4 linked regions of the Drosophila melanogaster genome follow. The protein of the gene in region 1 interacts with the protein of each later gene in a biochemical or structural test. Each region holds a gene or a part of one and is shown in the gene's direction. Other genes may lie near its edges.

Evidence for each region.
Region 2: the proteins of dock (region 1) and Dscam1 interact in far-western blotting, tested with the Drosophila melanogaster proteins (one study listed by BioGRID).
Region 3: of the proteins of dock (region 1) and Src42A, one has a biochemical effect on the other in vitro, tested with the Drosophila melanogaster proteins (one study listed by BioGRID).
Region 4: the proteins of dock (region 1) and Ptp61F form a complex in vitro, tested with the Drosophila melanogaster proteins (2 studies listed by BioGRID, with this or other methods).

What each region holds. Positions count from the first base shown.
Region 1 is NT_033779.5:824,417-832,005, forward strand, and holds the start of dock (dreadlocks), read left to right. Parts: upstream 1-1,552; 5' UTR 1,553-2,091; intron 2,092-4,888; exon of another isoform or gene 4,889-5,040; 5' UTR 5,041-5,119; coding exon 5,120-5,555; intron 5,556-5,728; coding exon 5,729-5,933; intron 5,934-6,321; coding exon 6,322-6,667; intron 6,668-6,760; coding exon 6,761-7,210; intron 7,211-7,297; coding exon 7,298-7,507; 3' UTR 7,508-7,589. Other genes in the region: CG3862 (uncharacterized protein), read right to left, coding at 17-1,381. UniProt on the Drosophila melanogaster protein: Adapter protein that links cell surface receptor tyrosine phosphorylation to downstream signaling pathways and effectors, many of which are involved in regulation of the actin cytoskeleton.
Region 2 is NT_033778.4:7,378,836-7,383,624, reverse strand, and holds the start of Dscam1 (down syndrome cell adhesion molecule 1), read left to right. Parts: upstream 1-1,755; 5' UTR 1,756-2,154; intron 2,155-4,789. Other genes in the region: cos (costa), read left to right, coding at 1-428. UniProt on the Drosophila melanogaster protein: Cell surface receptor involved in guidance and targeting of growing nerve axons.
Region 3 is NT_033778.4:5,991,041-5,996,026, forward strand, and holds the start of Src42A (Src oncogene at 42A), read left to right. Parts: upstream 1-1,951; 5' UTR 1,952-2,337; intron 2,338-4,986. UniProt on the Drosophila melanogaster protein: Required directly or indirectly for the phosphorylation of drpr which is necessary for the interaction of drpr with shark and subsequent glial phagocytic activity.
Region 4 is NT_037436.4:1,344,571-1,352,327, reverse strand, and holds the start of Ptp61F (protein tyrosine phosphatase 61F), read left to right. Parts: upstream 1-1,728; 5' UTR 1,729-1,851; coding exon 1,852-1,956; intron 1,957-2,785; exon of another isoform or gene 2,786-3,129; intron 3,130-5,877; coding exon 5,878-6,051; intron 6,052-6,122; coding exon 6,123-6,385; intron 6,386-6,463; coding exon 6,464-6,830; intron 6,831-7,166; coding exon 7,167-7,702; intron 7,703-7,757. Other genes in the region: CG9166 (uncharacterized protein), read right to left, coding at 297-475, 539-799, 857-1,142. UniProt on the Drosophila melanogaster protein: Non-receptor protein tyrosine phosphatase. Required for maintaining dock/dreadlocks in its non-phosphorylated state. Negative regulator of InR/insulin-like receptor signaling through dephosphorylation of tyrosines when recruited by dock/dreadlocks.

The sequences.
Region 1 (7,589 bases):
AAACAAACAGCTTAATCTAGAAGAACGGCTTGCACAAGGCAATGGTGTGATCCACTCCGTAGGCCACTTTGGTGACCTTTCCGTTGATGGCCGCCTTAAAGGGAAAGAACTGGTCCTTCTTGTGTCCCAGCCCCAGATGCCCGAACCTGTTCTTGCCCCACATGAAGAGATCTCCGTCCGAGTTGACGGCGCCCATGTGAAACACTCCGCATCCGATGGAAACCACTGTGGTTTCGTTGCTGAAGTCATTTCGTCCGAATAAAGGCGGCAACAGATGCTGCGGCTTGGATGTTTGCTCCACGAAGGGTCCGAAGCCGAGGATGCCAAAGCCCCAGGTGTACACCAGACCCTGGTCGTTGAGGGCCATGCAAAATGAGCCTCCCGCAGCCACATCCTTGATTTTCCCGATGGACTTCGTTAGTTTGAGAGCTCTAGGGATATTTATTTGGGTTTCGGCCAGCTCTGAGTCATCTAGCTGTCCGTACTCAGAATTGCCCCAGCCAAAGGCATCGCCCGCCTCGTTAAGGGCCAAAACGCAGTCCGAGGAGCAGCTGAGCCGCACAATCTTCTCCTTTTCCACATCTCCTCCAATCAGGGTTATCTGCCCGGCGGTGTGGTAGTTTCCCTGACCTGTTTGACCATCCGCACCCCAGCCACATGTGTAAATGCGTCCCTTTTTGGTAAGAAACATGCTGTGGTCCTGGCCGCACTCCACCTGGACCACCTCATCCTCCTTGCCGCATATATCTTCCTGCGATATCCTGTGGATCAGGGCACTCTTGCTGTACCGCTCCTCCTCTATGATGGAGCGGCCACATTGGCCGTACGAATTGTTTCCCAGGGTGAAAATGGTTCCGTTTTGGGTCAGAACCACCAGGTGAGCTCTACCCGCCGACATGCTCTTCACACGCATGTCCTCGTCTGTTTCTCCCTGAACTCTCGGCAGTTTAATGGCTGTAGGATAAATGATCACGTCAAGGTTGGCCGGATCATTGGGATTTCCCTTCACCTGGAAACCCAGTTGGGAGTCGGTGTTCAAACCGCTGCCAAAGAGCGTCTCTCCGTCATCTCTATTCACGGCGTAGACCGTGAACCCGTAGCCGGCGGCCACATCCGTGATTTCGTTGTTGTTGGAGAACTGCAAGCGGGTGGGATGGTGCACCATCTCCGTGTAGCGTTCCTTGGCCTTCTTCACGTTGGTCTGGAGACCGAGAGCGCCGGTTTCCTGAAAGCCCCACACGTAAACTCGGTGCTCATGGCTGTCCGTCGTCTTCGGTGAGTACTCCTTGATCTTCGACTTGTCCTGCGCCAGCACACCCCTCTTCGCCTTGGCGGTGTACGACCTGCTGATGCCAAGCACAATACCCCGAGTTTTCAGCATGGTATTTCGGGTTAAACCAACCATGTAATCCAAAATCATAACAAAAACGCCACCCGATATCGATAGACCCGATGACCGGACAAGTGCTGCACAGCGCGCAACGTGCTTATCGATAGTTCGCTAAGAAAAACCGCTGATACGCCACCTGACAGCCCTGGTCGTGGTCAATCGCTATCGCCTTCCGCACATCGAAATCGGATGGGCGACGTGAAAGAAACGGCTCCGGCAAAATCATTAAAATTTAATTAGTTAACCGCAAGAGAGCGCTGCAAAATTGTGCAAACAATTTGCCACTTAACGCAGTTAACGTGTGCGGTAATCAGAAGCGTGGAAAAGCGTTTATTTGTCAGGATTTGTGTGTTTTTCAATCGCGGCAGCAGCATATGTACACACACACAGGCTCACCCCCGCCCCACTCACACACACACACTCACGCCTAGGTGTATTATAATTAAAGTTGTGTTTTAAGTGTGTGTAAAGTGCAATAGCCCAGTGGAAAGTGGAAGTGATATAGAGTGCGTTCCAGGAGTTCCAGGAGCAGTGTCTTATCCCATGTCTTCCACTCCCAAATCCTGAGGATTGCCAAGGGTTAAGACCGAGAAATACGGACTCCGACTTTCCGGATAAGGATACGGATACGGATAAGGAGTGCCAGGATAAGGAGATCCAGGAGGAATATAGGAGTTGCCAGTCCAACCGCTTCGTCTCCGGTAGGTACACACAAAATATTCGGCTGCTCCTTTTTAGCTCCTGTTCGAATCTCTCACGGCTCTCTCTCTCGGCTCTCTCTCTCTCTCTCTTGACCTGCGCTCTCTCTCTTTATCTCGCCCTCGTCACCTGGTGGTGCGTAGTCCTTTGGCTCGGTCCACCACCCGCCCAGTGGGCGGTGCTGCAACCCTTAGCCCTCCGCTTTCCATCACCTTTTTTTGGGTAACCATGGTCGTGTTTACGGCAAACTGTGCCACCGATATATATGTGTGTACATATGTACCCTTTCCCTTGTCTAGATAGATGAAACAGATAAATCGTGAAGATGCTTCACTTACCATAAATCTATAATATGTTCATTGCTCAAATACTACTATAGTAGGTACTTGTGTTTTTCAAAAGCCTGTGCCAGGTACAAAAGCTTGTACTCTTAACAACACTGGGAACGAGTCCTGCCATCCTTTGCAGGACGAGAAGTCCACCCTCTCGCTGCCAAAAAGCCACCACCTCGCAGAGATTTTGCGCAGCATCTCTAAACGAAACGGCCGGCAAATGTCGCAAACTCCCTCGGCAACAAAAGCCAAAAAAAAAATACAAAATACAAAAAACAAAACCGAAACCGAAACCCCATTCGAATCCCATTCCCCAGCAAAAGCATCTACTTAATCAACCCGGGCGGGAGTGGACTCCCAGCTCCCTGAATGAGTGATCTTATGTAAACAGGCTGCCCTTTGCCTCCCACGCCCCGAGATCCAGATAAGAGTGCCCCACTTTCAGTTCCTCCATGGCTGCCCCATCCATCCACCGAAGTCGTAACTCAATGTTATAGACCCAAATGCTCCCGTTTCGGGGCCACCAATTCGTTCGTGATGGCTTTTCTTGGGGACCAATGACTATACTCCCTCGTCTGGAACCGATCTTCAACCAATACACAGACACAGCACGGGGAAACAAACTTTCCGCCTCATAAACTTGTGGGCTTGTCCCCCAAGCACGTGCAACTCTTTCTTTCTCTCAGCGAAAAGACGAACTGCTGTCAGGAAAACAATGAACGAGTGCACCGGAAAAAAACATAAATGTTTGTCATACGGGAAGCTAAGAAATCATACCACAAAGAATTCTTTAAAAATATATATTCATTTATTGCAGTAGCAGTAGGGAATCTTATCAAATCATAGTTCATAATATATTTTTTGACAATTTCTCCGCGCTAACGAACTTATCAGCAAGTTCCTTCCGATTTCTTCGGATTTTATCAGCAGTGTAATGTCAATGTCTCGGCTGTTGGGCTTATGCAAGCGCAAACAATAACAAAACAATCACCAAGCCAAAGAAATCCAAACACCGATCCGAATCCAACGGTGGTGCATTTCAGTTCATTGGCAGCCAGCCAGCCAGCCAGGCGTTTCATGTTTACCAAGTCCCCAAGCGAACCGAACTGAACCGCCCCCTTATCACTCCAGCATTTGCATAAATATAATCTTTTTCGGGTTCTTTCTCCGTTTCTATCTGGGTTCGGTTACGGTTTCACTCCCGCTTTCTCCTCTCAAAAAATAGGGAAAACACACAGACAATTCGCACAACAGTGAATCACTTTGCGACCAATGCTTCGGTTAAACAGGTACTTCTCCGTATCTCTAGCTAACGCAAAAACCTTTGACTAATCGATGGTAAAGTAAACAAAAACACTCGTTATCACATGGAGATTATTATGGCCAAAATTCGAACAGGAAGCACGATTAGAAGTTTACCGGCAAAACAAATTTATGCATTGCCTGCATTTCTTATTATATACGTATGGGTCAGTTGCTAATAGATATTGCACCGAAATGCCAGAATTGAATGGCATTAGAGCTCTCGAAAACACTTTCAGCTGACTCAGCCTCTCGTGTATGACCTAACAGTCATTGAAAAGCGAAACCAAGATTGGCCTAGAGTCAAAGACCGAGTAGAGCGTTTTCTCAACGTGGCCCACACTTATTGATTTTTAATTATCCAAAGATGGCCCTCGGCTATGACATTGACTTTGATTTTGTTGGCTCGCCAACCTGGCCAACGAACTCGGGAAGCCTCTCTAGAGATCTCTGGCCGAAATAACCTTCTGTGCCGCCCGCTAACTGCCTTATGTCACTCGGTAAATCTCGGTTAAGAAACCAATTTCCCAATACCCCCGACCATTCACGTTCGTGACTCATTGCGGTCGAATGTCTCAGTTGATTTCTGTGTCTTTCTTGGCCTGAAATGGCCCGGATTTTGAGTCTCTGGTTCTCCAGCCTCGGTGAGGCTGCCCCGTTGAACAAATCAATACCCGATGGCCACTTATTCGCTCGCCTGGCAATTGGATTCAATTGAGTGGAGTCAGTCGGAGGCAACTTTCACTTGCACAGATTTTAATTGCCCCACAACTGGAATGGCCAGATCCCTCAGCCCCCATATCCATCTCCCGCTCATATTATCATCATCATGATCATCACAACACAAACACTTCACTCATTCATCTTCATCGCCGGCTCGCTGACCCCAAAAACAAACATTCATCTCTCGGCTAATTTTGAGTTGATTTCCTATTTGGTATTTCGAGTTTGAGTACTTGCATTGTATTTTTTAAGCTAATCATTTTTACGCTCTTTAGCTTCTTCAGTGCGAAACAATTAAGCCTAATTTGCATATATCATTTGCTCTCTTTTTCTTTCTTTCTTCGTTCGTTGCTTATGTTATTGCGTTGCTTATGTTTACTTTGCCACGCCTACGCTTCCGCCCACGCTCACGCCCATTCGCCCCCTGAAACCACGCCCACAGCAATTATGCATTGGCTAGAGGCGATTTGCAGCAAGCTTAGAGTGCCAGCGAGCAACTGCAACACATAACCAAACCATCAAAGACTTGTTGTTCATCAACTCCAACCCCAACTCCAAGTCCACCAACACTGAGCCACCGCCTCTTGCCTCCAGGAGCATCACCAGGAGCATCAGGGCAGTCCCAGCTGGAGGAGCAGGAATCCCCCCGCGGCGGAGGAGCAGCCAGTCTGGAATGTTGGAACACCCCCAGCGGTTTGTGCGCAACATCCCCGACTCCTCAGCCAGTTCGCAGCAGTATCCGCAGCAGCAGCAGCATCCGCCACAGCTGCCGCAGCACCAGAATCTGAATCTCAACCAGAATCAGAACCTGAACCAGAATCAGATCTACCAGTACCGTCCCCAGGTGCCCGTGCCCGTTCCCGGCTCACCTGCCCATCACCAGCGGCACTCTTCGCTCTCCCAGCAACAGCAGTTGCACCACCACCGCACCCTGTCCACCGCCTCCTCCTGCAGCGCCCAGCACAAAAGTGTGACCTTCGGCCAGCCAGCGCTCGACTGCGGCGGCAACGGCAGCGGAAGCGCCAACGGAAGCGGTAGCGGCAACTCCTCCAGTGGCAGTGCCGCCGGCAACGCTGGAACCCAATCAATGGCGGGCAACATGAAGCACGGTGAGCAACTGCAACACAATAACCTCACAGCGAGAAGAGCATTGGGTGTAGTAAAAGGATCTAGGATTTGTATGCTAATGAATTTGTGGTTCTATCATACTGGCCCATTTTGCTTTTCTAACTGTGTGTGCACTTGGTACTCTTCTAACCTGTTCCTGTTAATCACTCCGCAGGCAAATCTCAGGACGACGTCTGCTACGTGGTAGCCAAGTACGACTATGCGGCGCAGGGTGCCCAGGAGCTGGATCTGCGCAAGAACGAGCGCTACCTGCTGCTGGACGACTCCAAGCACTGGTGGCGCGTCCAGAACAGTCGCAACCAGTCCGGCTACGTGCCAAGCAACTATGTGAAGAAGGAGAAGCCCTCGCTCTTCGACAGGTGCGTCAGATTCCTGGCCCGACTAAACCTAAGCGTTCTTCTTGCTCTGATTTCAGCAGAATTAAGCCCTCTATACCTGTATCTGTATCCGTATCCGTAGATGTATCTGTATCTCTATCGCGTTCAAATACCCGCCTCCACCTTTTGCTTTGGCTATCGTAATTTAACTTATAACTGCTTTCGGCTTTTGTATTTTGTATTTCAAAACAACAAATTCGTTTTGATTTCGTTGTCTGTCGAGCCCCACTTGCCCCTAAAAACTAAAGATCCACTAACACCCAAACCAACTAGGGCTAGTCTAACCCACTTTAAACCGCCAATGAAATCTAACCATAAAACTTCATCCCAATACTGATCGTGAATATTTTGATTTACGATTTCTGTGCAGCATTAAGAAGAAGGTGAAAAAGGGCTCCGGATCGAAGACACTGCCTAATTGTTCGCCTTCGCGACAGGTCGAGAGTCCAACCATGTCGCGCCGACTTCCCCCAGATCCCGCAGAGGCCATCGGAACGGCTGTGGTCAAGTATAACTATCAGGCCCAGCAGCCCGATGAACTTTCGCTGACCAAGGGCACACGAATCCTCATCCTGGAGAAGTCCAACGATGGATGGTGGCGTGGACAGAGCGGCAATTCCGTCGGCTGGTTCCCCAGCAACTACACAACGGAGGATTGTGATAACGACGGCGAGATCCACACCTACGCAATGGCCGAGAACGTGCTTGATATTGTGGTGAGTAACTGGACGTGTTCTCAAAATAAACATTCACATCATCTATGAGAGGTTGTCATTATTGGCTAATAACAACTATTTTCAAATATATAGGTCGCGCTGTACAGCTTCACGTCAAACAACGACCAGGAGCTCTCGTTCGAGAAGGGCGATCGCTTGGAGATCGTGGATCGGCCCGCCTCCGATCCGGACTGGTACAAAGCTCGCAACAATCAGGGCCAAGTCGGTTTAGTTCCACGCAATTATCTCCAAGAGTTGAACGACTACCTGGCCACGCCCTATCGTAATGCGAGTGCCAGTGCAGGAAACGGAAATGGAGGAGGAAGTAATGGCGGCGCAGGTGGTGGCGGAGGAAACGACTCCATGGAGCGGCGCAATGAGGGTAATAAGCCGGCGGCGCAATCTTCCGGCCAGCCAATCGAGCGGCCAAATCTGGCGGGCAAGTCGTGGTATTATGGAGCCATCACCCGCAGCCAGTGCGACACGGTGCTCAACGGCCACGGGCACGATGGCGACTTCCTCATCAGAGACAGTGAGACTAACGTAAGTGGAATTCGCAATTGAAGTGCCATAACATAGTTCCGCCCGAATTCTTTGAGAGTGTATAAACGAATTCATCCTTTCTTGCAGATGGGAGACTATTCGGTTTCGTTAAAGGCCCCAGGGCGCAACAAGCACTTCCGCGTGCACGTGGAGCAGAACATGTACTGCATTGGGCAGAGGAAGTTCCACTCGCTGGACCAACTGGTCGATCACTACCAAAGAGCGCCCATCTACACGAATAAGCAGGGCGAAAAGCTGTATCTGGTGCGATCGCTGCCGAAGGCCAATGGCACGTAAGCAGGTCCAGGACTGGAGCAGAGAAATCTCAGCATTCATATTACCCGTATTCAACAACACACATATGCAACACAAAGATATA
Region 2 (4,789 bases), on another chromosome or scaffold:
AGGCCAGTAGTGATTTCGACTACGATCATTTCTACAAAGGTGGCGGCAATCCAAGCAAGGCACTGATCAAAGCGCCAAAGCCGATGCCCACCGGCTCGGCGCTAGACAAATACAAGGACAAAGAGCAACGCAGCGGACGCAACATCTTTGCCAAGTTCCATGTGCTCACCAGATATGCGTCAGCTGCCGCAGCCGGTTCCTCAGGGTCCACGGCCGAGGAATCCACGGCCCTGATTGAGTCAACCACCACGGCCACGGCAACCACTACGTCGACAACCACCACTGGAGCCGTAGGAAAAGTGAAGGACAAGGCCCTGGTCAGCTTCAGGCCGGAGCAGCTGAAGCGTCTGATGCCAGCTCCGACGGCCACGAAAGTGACGCGTCAGAAGAACAAGATAATTATCCAGGACGCAAGTCGTCGAAACTAAATACGAATTTAACCATTTCCAGGACGATATTATAAGGTTAAGCCAAATAGCCATATACAATTAATAGCCATGAGCTGAAATCCAGCCACTTTAATAATTAAGGCGATAATATAAAAAAATGCTTAAAAATGTATAACAGATTACTCCCATATACATGCATACATTTTAATCAATAGTCCGACATATATACCAGCTTGAATTTATTAGTTTACTGCTTGTCGTTTAACTTATTAAAGTGGCTGGAGTTCGATATCTTTTTAAGTGTGAAGCAATAGCTCAGATCCTGGTAACAAGAACTGAACAAGTTTCGTCCACAGTCATGACACAAATAGACTACAACACATGGTTCTCATTCCGGCTCTTTAGCTGGGGAGCATTTATTTTAGAAACCCCCACACGTACATACACCTAGCATATGAAAGTAACTATCCTCATGAGATTCAACCGTAAAGACTTGACCTGCTACTTAAGATACTCGCAAGACAAACCGTACACAAAACTCGCTCAAAGTGTTGACCTAAGTCTCCGCATTGTTTAACTTGTACATAACAATAATTATTAGGTAACCACTTAATTTTAATTGATTTTGTTAGTTTTAGCTTAGTTGTAAACACTATTGTGTCTTCCCTCGAATTTTAATTGACCTTCGATACCAATTACAACATACGTACTCCATACCCAAGTGTTAACCTTTAATATTCTATCAAAAGCATTTACTCTGTACAACTTATAAATGCTTCAAATCGCAGTATTTGCGCTAATCCAATACTCATTTTGCATTAACTTAAAATTAAAATTCAATACTGTTTGGTTGTGTACAACGTATTTTTTATTGTCCATTGATATAGATGCAGTTTGCACTGTACTCCGAGTAACTTAAATTGATATTAATGTATGTATGTTCCCTCAATATCAGCGTGTGAAAAATTATAAACACATTTGTAAGCATACATATTCCGCCAAATCGCTCGGCATGGCTTTGTGTGGATATTGTTGGTTAAGCAAATAAATATATACAAACTAAACTAATCAATCAGTGTTTAATCAGTGTTTTATATTCAAAATAAAATAGTTATCGTCTTATAAAGATAATTAAGTTCTACATTTGCAGCTGAAATCCAAGCAAACACAGTCCACAAGGCAACAGGTGAGAAATGTCCCAGAAATTTCCCAAACAATCGCCCCTTCGGACACACACACACACAGAAAGCGCAAAGAGAGAGGATGAGAGGGAGAGAGAGAGAGCGCCGGTTTAAGCGTTGTATCTAAATCCGATGGCGAGTATCTGAGCATCCGATTCAGTCTTGTTTGGACCGTCGAGCGATCGAGAACCGGATTTCAGCGCTAGTCGGCGAATCGCGAGAGCGTGCGAGTATTTGTGTGTGCGTGTGAGCGTTTGTTTTGGGACACCGATACGGATACGGGTACGGATAGACGGATATACGGCAGCGGTACGCGATTAGCAATCCGCCAACCGGTTGCAGCGGTGCTAGTGCACCACCCTACAAAAAAGTGAATAATAGTATGCAAAGTATCTGAAAGATAGTCAAGAGCAGAGCAAAGTATCTGTGTTTGTGTGTGCCGTGCTTTTGTGCGGAGTCGCCACCCCCGTGGATTAGTGGCACCCTGCTGCAAATAGCCCACCACTCTCACAAGTGTGTGTGTGTGAGTGTTAACAATTAATCGCATTTAAAAAACAATTTGGCCAGCCGCAGTAACAATAACGGTAAGAAAAGTCGGCGGTACCGTTGGGAAATTTTCACCGTTGTCTGGCAACTTCTTTGTGCCCGTCGTGTATGTATAGGTTGGGTGCAGAAGTGTGCGTGAGTCCTGCCCACGCCCACCGAGTAGCGCTAGTCTGCGAAATCAACTGCAGGATGCTGTAGGTTGATATTTTATCGGTTAGATGATAATAGTCTTTGGTCTTCCTTATGATTTTTCGCCAGACGTTAAGTTTTTTCAATTTGGGAATGCAAAAACGGTTACTTTATGCACCGTATCACATCACACACACTTGCAAAAGGGTGTGAAAATGTACTGCCATGAGGGAGGAAATATGCATGTTCTACGACTCCCAAACAAGTTTCATACTAAATTTCCGAATGTCTTGTTTAGTACGTAGGGGAGTTTCTATATATTTCATGCTACTTTTTATTTATAAATCGAGTTTTAGAGGAAATAATTGCAGTCCCTGAATTTTCAGCGATTTTTTTTCGGCGCATGCGCCCTTGGAACCGCAGAAAAGCAACTCTGTGATTACCGTTGTATTCGCTTGTGCGTCCATTCGTGTGTGTCAGTCAGTGTGTGTGTGTGTGTGTGCAACCTGTGCCTCCTGCCGCCAGGTCCTTGGTCCTTTGTCGCCGTCAGGTAGTTTTCAGCTTTCCCTACTCAAAACGCTTCATTCTCAAGAACCTCTTAAAATTCTTCGCAGTTTCCATGTGGCACACATACGTCGCGATCCTTTCAGCGCACATGTGTGTGTGTGTGTGAGTCCTGATGTTAGTGTTGTTTCATCCCCTGCTTGTAAAATCACTGAAATCCCGTGCAGCTGCCTTCGTCCTTTCCTTGCTGGTGTGTCTGAAGTTTCCACTATTTGATTTTGCAAGTGTTGCACTACCCTCCTCCTCCGCTTCCTTCTGCGTCTGCTGGCGATATACTTTTTATTTTCCTGCTTCTTTTTCTGGTTTTTCGTCGGCTCGCCATCCTGTTGCTAGGCGGTTTTCCCCACCAGTTGGACCAGTGCCAATTTTCCATGTGACTCCCTGTTTTCAGAGCAATAAAATAGTCAGTGAATTACCTATACACCTATGAACTTGCAGTAATATTATTGAATAGTATTTTAGGCACTATTGATTTAATTTTTTTTAATTTCTGTTTACATTGATACTCCGCTTAATGTAAATTATTATACTTATTTTACAATAACTAATTATTTATTTACCCACATGAATTACTGGTGTCTCCCTTTAAATGTACTGAATAGATCCTGGACATTTTTTGAAATCGTTAATAAGCTTTTCTGAAAGTGCTCCACTCGTTGAGCGAAGTGCTCAATGAGTTTTGGCAACCAATAAAATCAATAAATAAATCCAATAGTGTGCCATTTTATTCACACACATTTCAGATAAGTTCTAAGTTGTTTTAGTGATGGTTACTCCACCCACTAACTAATTTATACACAGCACGCTGGTGGTTAAACAGATTTACTTTGGCCGCTCTCATCGATTTGATGAGAATGCACTCATCGGGTCGCTTGTGAAGGCAAATATTGATTTCCACTTGGGCAGCAACATGACACAGCGGAAAAGGTTAAAGTGAACAAAGGACCGAATAAATATTTCCTTTTGTTTCTACTGCCGCCGAGAGCACTTGAATCTCAATTAGGGCCGCAGTGCGGAAGCTCTGGGCGCGAATGGGTCACAGCAGCGTTTCTGGACAATGGATGTGTGTCCTCTGCCTCCGCCGACGACCCTGCACTGGGCCACTGCCCTCAGTGCCCACTGTGCCCCATCCGACCATTCCTGCGGCACCACCCTTCCTAAATTTATTGGCTCGTCACCCCAATTTAAAGTTACACATGCAGCCAGACGGGGCAACAAGAAGAATACGAAAGGCGAGCATGAGTAATATTAAAATGCTTTTGATTCGTTGATTTTACCACGCGATTGACCAAACGGATCCGCTCACCGAGGGTTGTATCTCTTTATGTAGGTACATTGTATATGGTATAGATGTATCCGCACATATGTTGCCTATACGGATGCCTGGATCCGTTGACTGATTACCAGATGTTTTCCAAATTGCTTCAGTCGAGCATCAGTTGTCGGTATGGGAAGCGAACAATTTCTAAGCTGAAAGCTCAAGGAGAGATGTATTGATGAGTCATTACTCGAATATTTACGTGCTGTTCGGCAATTTTGGGCAAATTACTTTTCCATTTATGATTTATCTATTTATTTTTTAAACAAAAATCTAAATTCATTGATATACTTGATGGATTAGAAAAATGCACATGATTCTTAAAGGAACGTGATTCAATTAAAATTTGCAACCATTTCTATATGTGGATAAACTTCTTCGTCTTCAAAGTGTGTTTTTGATTAGCAAATACATTTCAAAAATAATTAATATACATAACTATTTTCCACCATCCGCATTCCTCTCTCTAATTCTAAACTTTTCTGGAATACTTAGTAGAGTCAGCTTAAAAGGGAATTTTTCGGTTAATAAACTCGTGGGTTTGATGCCACACCCCTGATGGAATAGTTTGGCCACCCCAGAGCCTTTGATGCAGCTGTTTCCCTGCTGCAAGCTACAGTCTGTTCATTAGGCCAATTGAAAAGCTAACATGGGTACAGTAG
Region 3 (4,986 bases), on another chromosome or scaffold:
AGAGGAGCATTATTCTGTATACGCATATTGAGTTTCGGTTAATTAAAATGTTCAATAATATGATTGTTGAGAGCGATTTGAGAAGACTCAAATAAATATTTTAACAATTAAAGAAAAGTTATGATACCACAGTTTGCAAATAAATGGGTCCGATTTTCCAAATAATTATAATTTCAGCTCATATGCAGCGAATTTAGTATTTTTTGAACCTCCGTATTCATTATTCATTAATAATTCAAGCCATCCTTTATTTTACTCCCGTTGCCACTATAGGCTGCAATTGTTATTGAACATGACATCAGAAAATGTCGTTGAACCCACGAAGAGAAGGCAATTGTTTTAGAGAGCCACATGCAAGAGCCGTGTCGGCATTTATTCATATTTCCCTGTGTTCATGCGTGGTGAAGTTCCGATTTAGTTGAGCGTTCTTCTTTCGGCTCAGGTGAAGTGTGTGTGTGTGTAGACAAATCATTCGAGTTTGTGGCAAGTCAATAATACTCAATAGAAGGCAATTGTTTTAATAATTTGTCAGTAGCTAAAAAAAAACATAAGTGACAACAGACTCGGTCGTCGCTCTCCAGGAAGGTCGAACGACTACATTTTAATTGACTCAGTGATATAGTGTTAATTTTTAGCTGATACGTCCGATAAAGACTACATATACTAACGGTGAACGTGTTGATGTTATAGGAATTTGAATTAGCGTAAAATTGCACAGGAAGCAAATATTCACCTAGTCTGGCTGGGCATTAATTGACTCGTAATTTACGTAGAGGTAAATACACACATTTCAATCAGATTAGGACAGTAGAAGGAGACGAAATCGCATTTTGTCGATACAGTTTGGTGTGTGGCTAGATTTGATTTCAGTTATACGACCTGTAAGCTGTGACTTTGTGCTGTAATATTGTAAAAGTTAATTTAAAATGAAAAAAGAATATACTGCTAAGTTAGATAACCGTATACTTCAGTGATATTGGCCATACTGCCTAACGTTTTTATAAAAGTGTCCTTTTATTTATTTATTTTGCATTACACAACCCGTTAAAGTTAACATTTAACACTTTCTGTTTACTTTTTATTTCCAGGTAAGTCCCAATATTTCAGTATTTAAGGGTTTTGTGGTCAGGGAAACGGAGAATCTGAGCCATCGACGTAAACACATGTGTTTATATGTGCACATGAATTTCTATTTACATAAGGGAGCTCAGGAACACTCATATTTGGTCAAGTGTTAAATCAAAGTGACTAACGACTATGTTTATAGATTTTGCCCTCCGACTTTTCGCAAAATATCCCCAGGTATTCGTTAATATATTCTTAATATTAAATGGTATGTCCAGGCGCGAGTCCCCACTGCGAGTCCCTTCTGGATTGGATACTAGCCATTAGTATTCCCACGATGTAGACTCTAATATTTTCTATTTCAGCAATGTTCCATAGCATACCTTATCAATGACGAGTTCAATGGCGTTCACAAGAACCCAAGCGGAGACATTTAGAAACAAATAATTTGATTTCCAGTGACGCGACAGTGCTGAGTTATTTTGGTTACGTGAACAAATTAATACAACCTGACATTTTGTCAGTAACAGCGACGAGTTAATTGTTTTCAACTCGATTTGATCTTTGCAATCAACGCACTTTGTGACTAATTGTTGTCGTAATTACAAAACTGTGCAGTTTATCTCGGAGCATCTTAAGAGAGAGGCACTTGGAGACGAAGAGCGAGACCACTCTTCGACGAGCCATTGGACTTCTGGGCCAAGATAAAAGAGACTAAGCACACAAAGATGGATCGAAGAGCGAGAGAGCGGGAACGGTTGGCCAACACGCGGGCAGCGAGCTTGGCTCAAATGGCACACACATAGATGCCAAGGCGGCGGGTGCGAGTGTGTCGGTGCGGTGGCAAGCGGTTAAAACCTTTCTATAAAAATTTCATAAACGTATCAGTTGTCTGCGAAGCGGTGCACAAAACGGACGTGTAAACGGAAGCCGCACGAAAACGGCTCGGAAATCGGAATAGCGCCCGTACACGCAGCACATAGGAAATCGAATCCGAATCTGAGTTAAATGCCTTAATCGAATTTGGCCAAAGCTCGCCTACCGCGCTTACAAGTTTTTTCGTTCACGGGCCGATGAAATCTATATAATCTATTATCCACAAGCCACCACAGAGCCACTAGATGCACTGTGCGGCGCATGCGCGACCTGTTTGTGTTGTTGGCATACTTCTAACAGTCAGTGTTTTCTTTGTTCAAAAGTGCCTCAAGTAAAACCCCACTTTGATATGGATAAGTGGTAACAAGAGCAGCAGTAGCAGCAAAACTGGAAAAGGTACAAGCCCAGGGAAGCTGCAGTGTGCGGAACATTCCTCTGGTGGATCCGAACTCAGAAAAAGATGGGAACAGAACTTTCTATTTTCTTTACTGTTTCGCGTGTGTTTCGCTGGTCATGCAAACATATTTTCTTTGCCTCGGCGCATGCCGCTGGAATTAGAACGGTGTATTCCGTGCGGAATACAAAGTCGAGCTTATTTCGTAAGAGAATTCCTGCGAATCTGGTTATGCAATGCCTGACAGCCCACAAAGTCGTCCTCAAGTTGTTGCGAACTTTATCGTTTACTATGTGCTAAAATGCACAACTGGCTTGCCAAACGGGTGATACATTTTTGTAAGTGCTAAAGCGCTCAGTTCCGTGCACATGAACTTTCTTATACACTGCTGTGCACTTCCACGGCGTTTTTTTTTTTCAGACACCATACCAGGCCTCAGAAATCATATCAATTTCGACTTACGTGACTTGGGCAAACTGCGCCATTTCGCACATATTCTTTGCGTTTAGGCTAAGATTTAAGTTGGCTCTCAGGCTTGGAATTAGCGGAGTTTAGGGCCTTCTTTTATATCGCTTTTCAGCCTTCTCTTGCTGCACTGTGCCGTGGTCGTAAATTTCCTGCGTCATGAGTCATGCCTGTCAGTCGGAGTCGCTTAACAACAGCAGTGGTAGCAGAAAAAAGATAAAGATACAGATACAAAATATTCAGTTGAAAAACACATGAAAATTGCTTTCATGGTATTGAGTGTGGAGCTCCAGATGAGCTAAAGAGAGGCAAAAAAGCTCATTGTTTATGGTAGCTGGCTTCGTGGTCCGCTCTTTGTTGTTGGCATTCCGAGCTGTAACCTCTGATTGTGATCCCTTCGAATTACTCCTTTCAGTTCATTGGTTCTCTCTTCAGCTCCTGCCACTTAAGCTATTAACTGTGGACCGTGCACTTTCCCAAAAACCTCTTATACATACGCTGACGATACTTTGTTTTCAGTTAGAATAAATAAATACAGTAAGGGAATAAAATAAATGTGGTTTTTAAAGCATATATGTGCAATCTCGGAGTCACGTTCCTACTGGAATATTTGCGTCGTCCTTGCACTTCTCTTTTTTGAGTAACGGGTATTTGTTAGTCAAAGAACTCGCTTTGGTGTTTTCTCTTGTTTTTTTAAGAGTGTTGGCGCCACAAAATATTTGATGAATGTGAAGGACGTTCAATTTCTTTTAGTTTCTCTCTTAAAAAAACAATTTTTTTATTAAATTAAGTACACGAATGTCGCGGATATTAATATATATGAAAAGTTCGACATATCGAATAAATTCGAATTCCATGAGTGGAAGGGAACTAAGTCTCGTCACCATTGTGCAATGACCTAAATCACGGTCATAAAATCAAAGCCAAACTTTTTTTTACCATAAGTTTTGTTGTGTTGGTTGAGGTTGTCGGTCAATGGCTATGTTTTTGCTGGCCAAATAGCTTACTTTTGATTTCCACATTAATGGAGCGCAGCAAGCGAATCACAATGTTATTTGCATTAAATTTTTTTGGAGTCACGGAGAAAGTACGCACAAAAGCTATAAATTAGACGGCATCACACAGCTTCTTAATTCCTATCGCTCTCTTGCAATGATTCACTTTTTTTTGGCTACGCAACGTAGACTCGCTCACAGATTTGGCTGAAAACCATCATGTCGAATGGCAACAGAAAGAGTTAGTGTTTGATTTTCGAGGTTTACTAGTTGTGGATTGGCGCACTAGAAGGAAATAACAAAAAAGCAGACAAACATAAAAAACGTTAAACCGGTTCAATTTGGGTCGTAGTACCTTTGAGTGCAATTGTTACCTTTCAGAAACAACGACAACAAAGACTTCGCCAATCGCACTCCATTCCACTCGCTCTGCAGCTCATTATACCCGTTATTATGTTCGTCTTGTTCAGTTTTCTTGGCACGCGTTACCGTAAAAAAAAAAAACTCCCACACAAGCAACCGAAAACACATCGAGCGATATTTTGTAATGACCATGCTTCGAATCGGTTACCATAGGTCAGTCAACAAGTTCGGTGTGAGTTGAGCTTTTATTCAGGGATAAACGCACCGTAGTCTTTTTGTTCATACTCGGTTAGTAACAAAAACTATACAAATCTTTAAAACACTCGAACAATTTTGGTCTTTTTGTACAACTTAACGTATGTAAGAATGTGTAAAATATTGTAAAACACAACGATTTTCTACTAATGTTTTTAAAACATTTTAAAGATATTTTTAAAATATCATATACCGATTCCTCTGAAGTCCACCTACGGCTGTCTAATTCGCTAGATGTTGACTGTAAAAGGTACAGGGTTTTAAAATTGTTTCAATAAAGCAAAATGTTCCCGGATATGTTTCGATCAAGAATATATATATATATATACATTTTATATATACTTTTCAACGAATCTAATTTCCGCTTTTTATCTTCAACTACAGGAATAAAAATATAATTTCTTGGTACACGACAGTATTAGTCCTTGACGTCCGACTCGTGACAAAAACTGCTAAAAGATATAGATTACTATATGCATCAGAGCTTTCAATAGCCTTTCGAAAACAAGACGGGTTCAACTGGTTTTATACAACGTCGTTGCTGTTATGGTTATTGTTGGTGTTTATCGTTAA
Region 4 (7,757 bases), on another chromosome or scaffold:
CTCCTGTTTGGAAATACTGCTGTCATATTCTGACGGATTATGGCTATTATTGCCCTATTAGAGCTCGATGTTAATAAAAATTACAGTTATTTTAAAGATGGCTGCCTGAGCGAATGCACCCAGTAAGAAACTAGAGATGGGCGATCGCATAGTTATTTTGGCCGTGACACGAGAATAACAAGTCTGACACGAAATATTTATTCATACCTTATTGTTTTTCCAAATCACACTGCAAGTGATCTCGCACGTACGCAGCTCTAAAGAGTTTTTTTTTATTAATAGTGAAATGTATTATTTTACGTCTTTAGTTTCGATTTGTCTACGAAAGAAAGGGGTGTTTGAGCCATGAAAATATCGCCATAGGGATTGGTGGGTTTTTGGCTTTCGCGGTCGAATTCGGAGCCAATGGCCCACAGCGACTCCAGATCGTATTCCTCGCGAGCACTCGGTGAAAATATGTGCAGGGCAATGTTGCCTAAAAGGAAACGGAACGTGTTAGAGCGGAGAAACCGGAATATGCATTTATTTCAATACCCACCCAAGTCCATGGCCATCCAATCCCGGCTCTTATCGCCCTCGATGCGCGGCAATATGTCACCCTTGCCCCGCTTGATCTTGAACATTCGGCGCACGAACTCCGCGGTGGACAGCATGTGTCGGTAACTGCGACCACTGCAAACCACCAGGTGGTCAACGTACTTCAGGTTCTCCGGCACGTAGCAGACGAATATGTCGTCCACATTCTCCTTGCGGAGCAGCTCCACCAAGTCCTCAACGTCGAACACTCCGCGAACACCTCCTGCAAAGGGAAACAAAGGCTTAAATTTCTGCTCTCCCTGGACGATTGCCAACCTACGCTTTAAATTGAGGCCGTAATAGTGATCCAGCTCCAGGTCCGGCTCTGGAAGTTGCTGCTCCTGGTGGCGTGCCTCTTCCACATCAAAAATCTCCGTGGCTTCCTCATCGCGGAATATTTTGTACTTGTCTTGCACGCCGGCAACCAAAGTCTTTTCGGGATTGCCTTCGATTTCCTGGCCCTTCGCTGCCTGTTGTGGCGGCTTGGAGAACTCGTGGTGGAAGCAACGCAGGACAGGCACACTCAGGCGCCTGTCGTGCACTAGGCGGAACACGCGGGTCAGCATTTTGCTTTGGCTTCTTTCTGTTGTTATTAATAAATTGGGTAACAGTTGTTGATTCGATACTTTTGGTATTACTCGATAACACTGGTCAACGATGAGCGATTGTAATATCGGTATTTTAAAGTATTTGAACCCAATTTTCTTATCAGAATTTTTCTATTTTACTTTTAAAATATTTTATTTTATTTTTTTTATTTTATTTTTATTTAAAATATTTTATTTCAATTGTTTTTATATTGTTATGTCTTTAGTTAAGTATTTAATTTTATATAAATTATAGAAAACTTATCCCGAATGTTATATTATGTTTCAGTAAAGTTCTAATTTCTGCGCAAGCACTTTAGTTTCAGTATGTGTTCTATTGCTCTACAGCGCCTGGTCACATTATTTGATGGTGAAAATATCGATAGACGTAACTAATATTTCAGAATAATAATGTCGCAGATACAATATATTGTGTTTGGCTTGCATTTGTAAATAGGAATCACCATAAGAGAATATAATATGTAATGCGATCAATATAGTGATGTACAATCGAACTATCACTCGGTATCGCACTGCAAATACCGATAGTATTTCGCAAGCTCAAATATTCGATACATCGACACTGTCGTGAGTTGTCCAGCTCTAGTTCTCCTCTGAAATTAACCAGCCGCCTGATAACCAAATTAAAAGTTATTAAATCGGAACAAATCGCAGCAAAGTGTGCACAATGAGCGAGCAGAAAACGAGTGGGAGTGGGTCGGCGGCCGCTGCCCGTCTGCAAATCGAGGCGGAGTACAAGGACAAGGGGCCGCAATGGCATCGCTTCTACAAGGTAATTGGCAACAACAACTGCGACTGCACTGAAAACTGGTTACAAACTGGACGAATGATTGTGGCACAGTTCGATTCGCCAAGGATTCGCAACGGATGCGGAGTATACACCTTTCCACAGCTCCTTGGCGCTCCGATTTCCACGAAAATGTGATGAGTGCGCAAAAGGCTTCTGCAGATGCCTCCACCACCAACACCAGTGCAGCGGCGAGCTTTACGTGTGTGCGTGTGTATTGTGTGTCAGTGCTGTTGTTGTTGCAGTTGTTGCTTTAACAGCCAGGCTTTGGCCAAAAACAAAAACCCATGGAAAAGAATGTACAAACAGAATAGCACCAACACACATACACGCACACCTGCTGCACTTTACTTTGCATTCTCCATCGAACGCGTGTGTGTGTGAGTTCGTGCGTGTGTATTGGCCTGTATTTGGCATATTTATGCTTGTTATTCTGCCATACCTTTCCCCAAAAACGCTTTCCTTTGACTATCAATAGAGCGCTTGAGCTATTCCGCGAATTCTCGTTTGGCCAAATCAAATTGGAGGCGATTTCTGGGAAGCTCGTTGTGTTTGTGATTGCCGTCCCCCAAAAACAAAATACAATTCGTGGAGGGGTGACAGTGCTCTCCACTGAAGAACTCCTCTAACGCGCGCACACACACACACACCCGCTCGCGTTGAGCAGGAGAGAGAGGCTCACGCACACAGGGGCACAAAGGGCATGCGTCTGGTTTTTTGAGTCTCGCTTTGGGCTGCTTCTGGTTGCCTGTCGGAATTGGAGTCGGAATCCTCTCCTTGCCCCTTCTTCTCTCCTCCTCCACCTCCACTCGTTCTTTATAGCCAGTTCCGGCGAACTGTCTTCAGCTGCTACTCCTCCTCCTCTGTTCCTCTGTGCCTCTTTCAGCGCTTCCACTCACTTGAATTGGGATTTCACGGAATTCCACTCCGCAGTTAGGATGACACAGTATATGGTCGTGTGTAGAAATATCTCGTTTCTGGACCCGCTCCTCGGCATCCTCGTTCGTCATCCTTTGTGCTCGCGTCGAGGATAATCTAATTTTCCAGCTAACTGGAAGGCAGCCCGCAATTGTGCGTCGAAACTGACTGGAAAATAGCTACCAGCCATTTCCACTGAAATACAGTGCAACTTGACTAAGACGATCTTGTTAGGCCAAAGTGAGATTTCAATAAACTTTCTTTAATCATATTTTCTCATTAAATCATAAATAGTTTTCAGCTTGATAATATTACTTTCGTGAAATTCATCTAAATTCGCTGAATTTTATATGTTCCATAGCATGTAAACGTTGACTCATTTTTGTTGCAATGAAAAACAACTATGATCAATGTGAAAACATCACATTTTTCGATGATTACTTTATGAATAAGACCGACCTACCCCAATTTTTACTTTAATAACATTTAGCTGTGCATGCTACTACATTTCTGAAGAAAATTATAATCCATTATAGGCACTTATCTGTCTTTATTATAGAAATTCCAAAACACATTCTTCTAAGAATTAATAAATCGCAAATATGTGTGAACATAAACGGTACAACTAATTTTGTGGTTATCATTAAAACTTCCAATTTATTTGACATTTGCCATATGATAGCCCATCATAGGGGATTTGGACTGTAGCCAAAAACGCAGTGACGCATTCGGACCGTATTGTTTTGCTATGCTTTGCTTTATGTTTAATCATTTCCATTGAACGAAGTGCGTTACACTGGGTCTTCTCAACTCGCCGCCCCTCCCCGCCTATCAGCTCATACCTAGCGCCTTCTCGATCCATCCGTTCCATCAACATCCCACCCAACCCACTCCGTCCCATTATGACAACCTCCGTGGACTGTGACGAAGCTCCTCCACAGCTATACCCTGCCAGAGGGTGTTATAGTCCTTACCAGTCGTTGGTATCAACAGGTGACCGTCTTCTTTTTCGTTTCTCTGGAAACAGTCAAGCCAGATTTTATGAAATATGAAACTTGTTAACTCGCATAGTGTGTGTGAAAGGGTATGTCAAATTCGTATTGGCCAAGAAGTCTTTATCCATCGTTGCAATTGTGCTCTGCGTGCATGCAATGTTTTTGTTACTGTTTCTCGATTTCCTTCGAGCGTTGCAAGGTAAAGCAGAAACATAATAACCATAAAACGGTTTGCACGACACGCTTTGGAAACCAAAGCCCCCGAGATTTCCGCGCCTTCGCTTGGATTTCGCCACTCCGTTTAGAAGGGTCACCTGGATAGCCACCGAGCATAAAAAACAGTATGTAGCTGGTAAACGGCCCAAGACTTAATGTTCAACGGAGCCGAAGAACTGTTTTCTCCATCAGAATGAATCCAATCCAAGCTATGGATTTACATAAGTTCCGGATGGATTGTTGATTTTATATATCATATCTAGTTTGATATAGTACAAGGAATACAACTTTATACATCATAAGTACACTGAAAGTCTTTATCATTGGCAAACATTTAAATAAAGCAGCTCAATTATCTGCGCGTATTCTCACGTGACTCGTCGATTATCAGACCTTAAATAGGTGATTGTAGAAATGCTATTGAGTTGAGGAGTTTCGAGAAATATTAAGTGCAACCATGGATTTCTTTCCGTTTCTAATTACGAATTATCAAATGTAGCGATAGCCATTGAGATTTTGCTCTTTGAAAAGCTTCCTTATCGGTCATTAGCCCGTCTCAGATTTGGAGATTACGTAAAAATATGACTCTTTAAAGTTATTTCATAACAGGTCAGCTGCAGAATTTGCAGCTGATTCATTGTTGAAACATGACGAACTGACAATTAACAACTGATTTTCGAGCTGCAATCAACGCGAGCTGATGGGTAACCATATTAAATGGTTACTCATCACCGCATGCATGTGATTAGCTTTGAGCCGAGTTTAAGGAGCACTTGTCGTCGCCAGGTGGTTGCCATTGACCTTGTTAACGGTTCGGTAGTCGGATTCGATGGTTCAATTGGCGGGGCCACTTTCAGCTGCGCCAGCAATTCCCCGTTCACACTGCTGATAATGCCGCACCGGTCATGCCCAAGATAATGCCATTACCGACAGCTTGCTTTGCCATCGCCATCACCAACATCGCATGGCTAATTAGTCACGCCCGCTATGTAGACTGGGTGGGCTTTTCATATGCCGCATGGTTCCCTCCCAGTCCGATGCCCCTTACATGTATCTACTATCGCTTCAATCGCAGGGTTTGCCAATCCGGAGGAGCCCCTTGTCGCTGGGCCAAGTGATGAATCACTGCAAAGGGGGCAACCCCCATGGAAAAAAACAAATTCGATTTCTGTAACATTCTAGCATTCTTCTAACAGGATCTTATCAATTCGTTTCTTGACAATTTGTTTGCGAGTCAGTCAAACAAATGTATCACTTTAAAACTAGTTATTATCAGACCATTATGAGTCTGAACGTTTTCATTTTCTCGGAACACAAATCGTAAAAAGCTTAATTGCGCCTTACAGTTTCTCAGTTTGTATGGTTCTAAAAGGAAGCTCTGATATTCGTTTTAACAATGCCATTCAATACTATTGTGCACTGCTATTTGCTGTTTGCTCTTGTATCGAAGAATTCGTTGGGTCATTTCATGCATAAATGTTTAATTAGTTTGAACTTTTGGTCTTATTACTGTCTTAGATAATTGAGTAACACGAAAACTATATTTTTTACGAATTTTGTACCAGAAAGAAGAGATCTTCCAGTAAGACACTATAGTAGTTGTCTTCTGGGGTCTGGAACGCTTAGGTAAATAGCGCAAATCTCACAAAATCCCCTGAATTACCGCCTGCAAATTGACTGATAAGTTGTCAGTAAAGCGACCGAATTTTAATACCACCTCAACCTTTGTTGTTATGGGTAGTTTCGATTGTACTAATCGCTCTTTTCGGAATTCCAGGAAATTTGTGAGACCTGCGACCGGGAGGCGAAGGAGAAGCAGTTCAGCACCTCGGAATCGGAACGCCACACGAACCGCGGCCTGAATCGCTATCGGGATGTGAATCCGTACGATCATTCCCGCATTGTTTTGAAGCGCGGCAGCGTAGACTACATCAATGCGAACCTGGTTCAGGTGGGTCACGTTTTTAATGCATACACACACCCCTAATTAAACGCCTAATGCGATCAATCAATCCTTTCTAGCTGGAGCGCGCCGAGCGCCAGTACATCCTGACCCAAGGACCGCTGGTGGACACAGTGGGCCACTTCTGGCTGATGGTATGGGAGCAGAAGTCCAGAGCAGTTCTCATGCTCAACAAGCTGATGGAGAAGAAACAGATCAAGTGCCACCTCTACTGGCCCAACGAGATGGGAGCCGACAAGGCCCTGAAACTGCCCCACGTCAAACTCACCGTGGAGCTCGTCCGTCTCGAGACCTACCAGAACTTTGTGCGGCGATGGTTCAAGTGAGTAGAACTCTTTATTCTTCTTCTGCTTCAAACCATTTGTACATGTGGACTAATTGCCTTTGACTATTTCTCTAGATTAACCGATCTCGAAACGCAGCAGAGTCGTGAAGTGATGCAGTTCCACTACACCACATGGCCGGACTTTGGCATTCCCAGCTCGCCGAACGCATTCCTTAAGTTCTTGCAGCAGGTTCGCGACTCCGGCTGCCTCAGCCGCGACGTGGGTCCAGCCGTAGTGCACTGCAGTGCCGGAATCGGGCGGTCGGGCACCTTCTGCCTGGTGGACTGTTGCCTGGTACTTATCGACAAGTACGGAGAGTGCAATGTGTCCAAGGTGCTCTGCGAGCTGCGCAGCTACCGCATGGGCCTCATACAGACCGCCGACCAGCTGGACTTCTCCTACCAGGCGATCATCGAGGGCATTAAAAAGCTGCACGATCCCGTATGTATGCGCGACCAGCGGTCGGCGTTTGGGAGTCAAACTTGGGGGCTGCCAAGCACCGCCGTATATATTGCACATCGCTATTTATTCTGGGGGGTCACAGAAATCTCTGGGCTTGGTTATGGTTACTAGAATTCATATTGTTTAATGGAATTATGATTACTTTTGAAAACTGTATTATGTTTAGTTTTGTTTTTTATTATGTGATCTAGTATCAGCTTAATGATTATTGTTTAATTGATGCGAAAAAGAAACCATTGTTTTTGGTTTGCAGAGATTTCTGTGAAGGCCCTGATTATTTTCCGCGACTAATTAGAACATTTGATTTCTCTTCAGACCTTTCTTGACGCTGAAGAACCCCTCATTAGCAACGACACAGAGACTCACACACTGGATGAGCTGCCGCCGCCATTGCCCCCACGCGTCCAATCGCTTAATCTGCCACTGGCCCCCAATTCCGGCGGTATACTTTCGCTCAATATGCGCGCGGCCCAGGCTAATGGAGCTGAAAGTATCGGCAAAGAGCTGAGCAAGGACGCCCTGAACAACTTCATTAATCAGCACGACATGATCCACGATGCCGAGGTGGCCGACAGTCGTCCCTTGCCGCCATTACCCGTAAGGGCTTTCAACGATTCGGACAGCGATGAGGATTACTTGCTGGATGACGATGACGAGGACGACACCGATGAGGATGAGGAGTACGAGACCATTAACGAGCACGATGCCGATCCAGTTAATGGACACGTGCCCGCGACAACACAGCCACATGCCGACGATGTTAATGCCAACAACGAGAAGCCAGCGGTGCCAGTCGACGAGCAGCACAAGGCGAACGGCATCGATCCAATTCCAGGCCAGCTCCCAGCCAGGTAAGAATCTAGTCTTAGATCTGCTCAGTATCTATTTTTCAACCGCCTAGTCAAA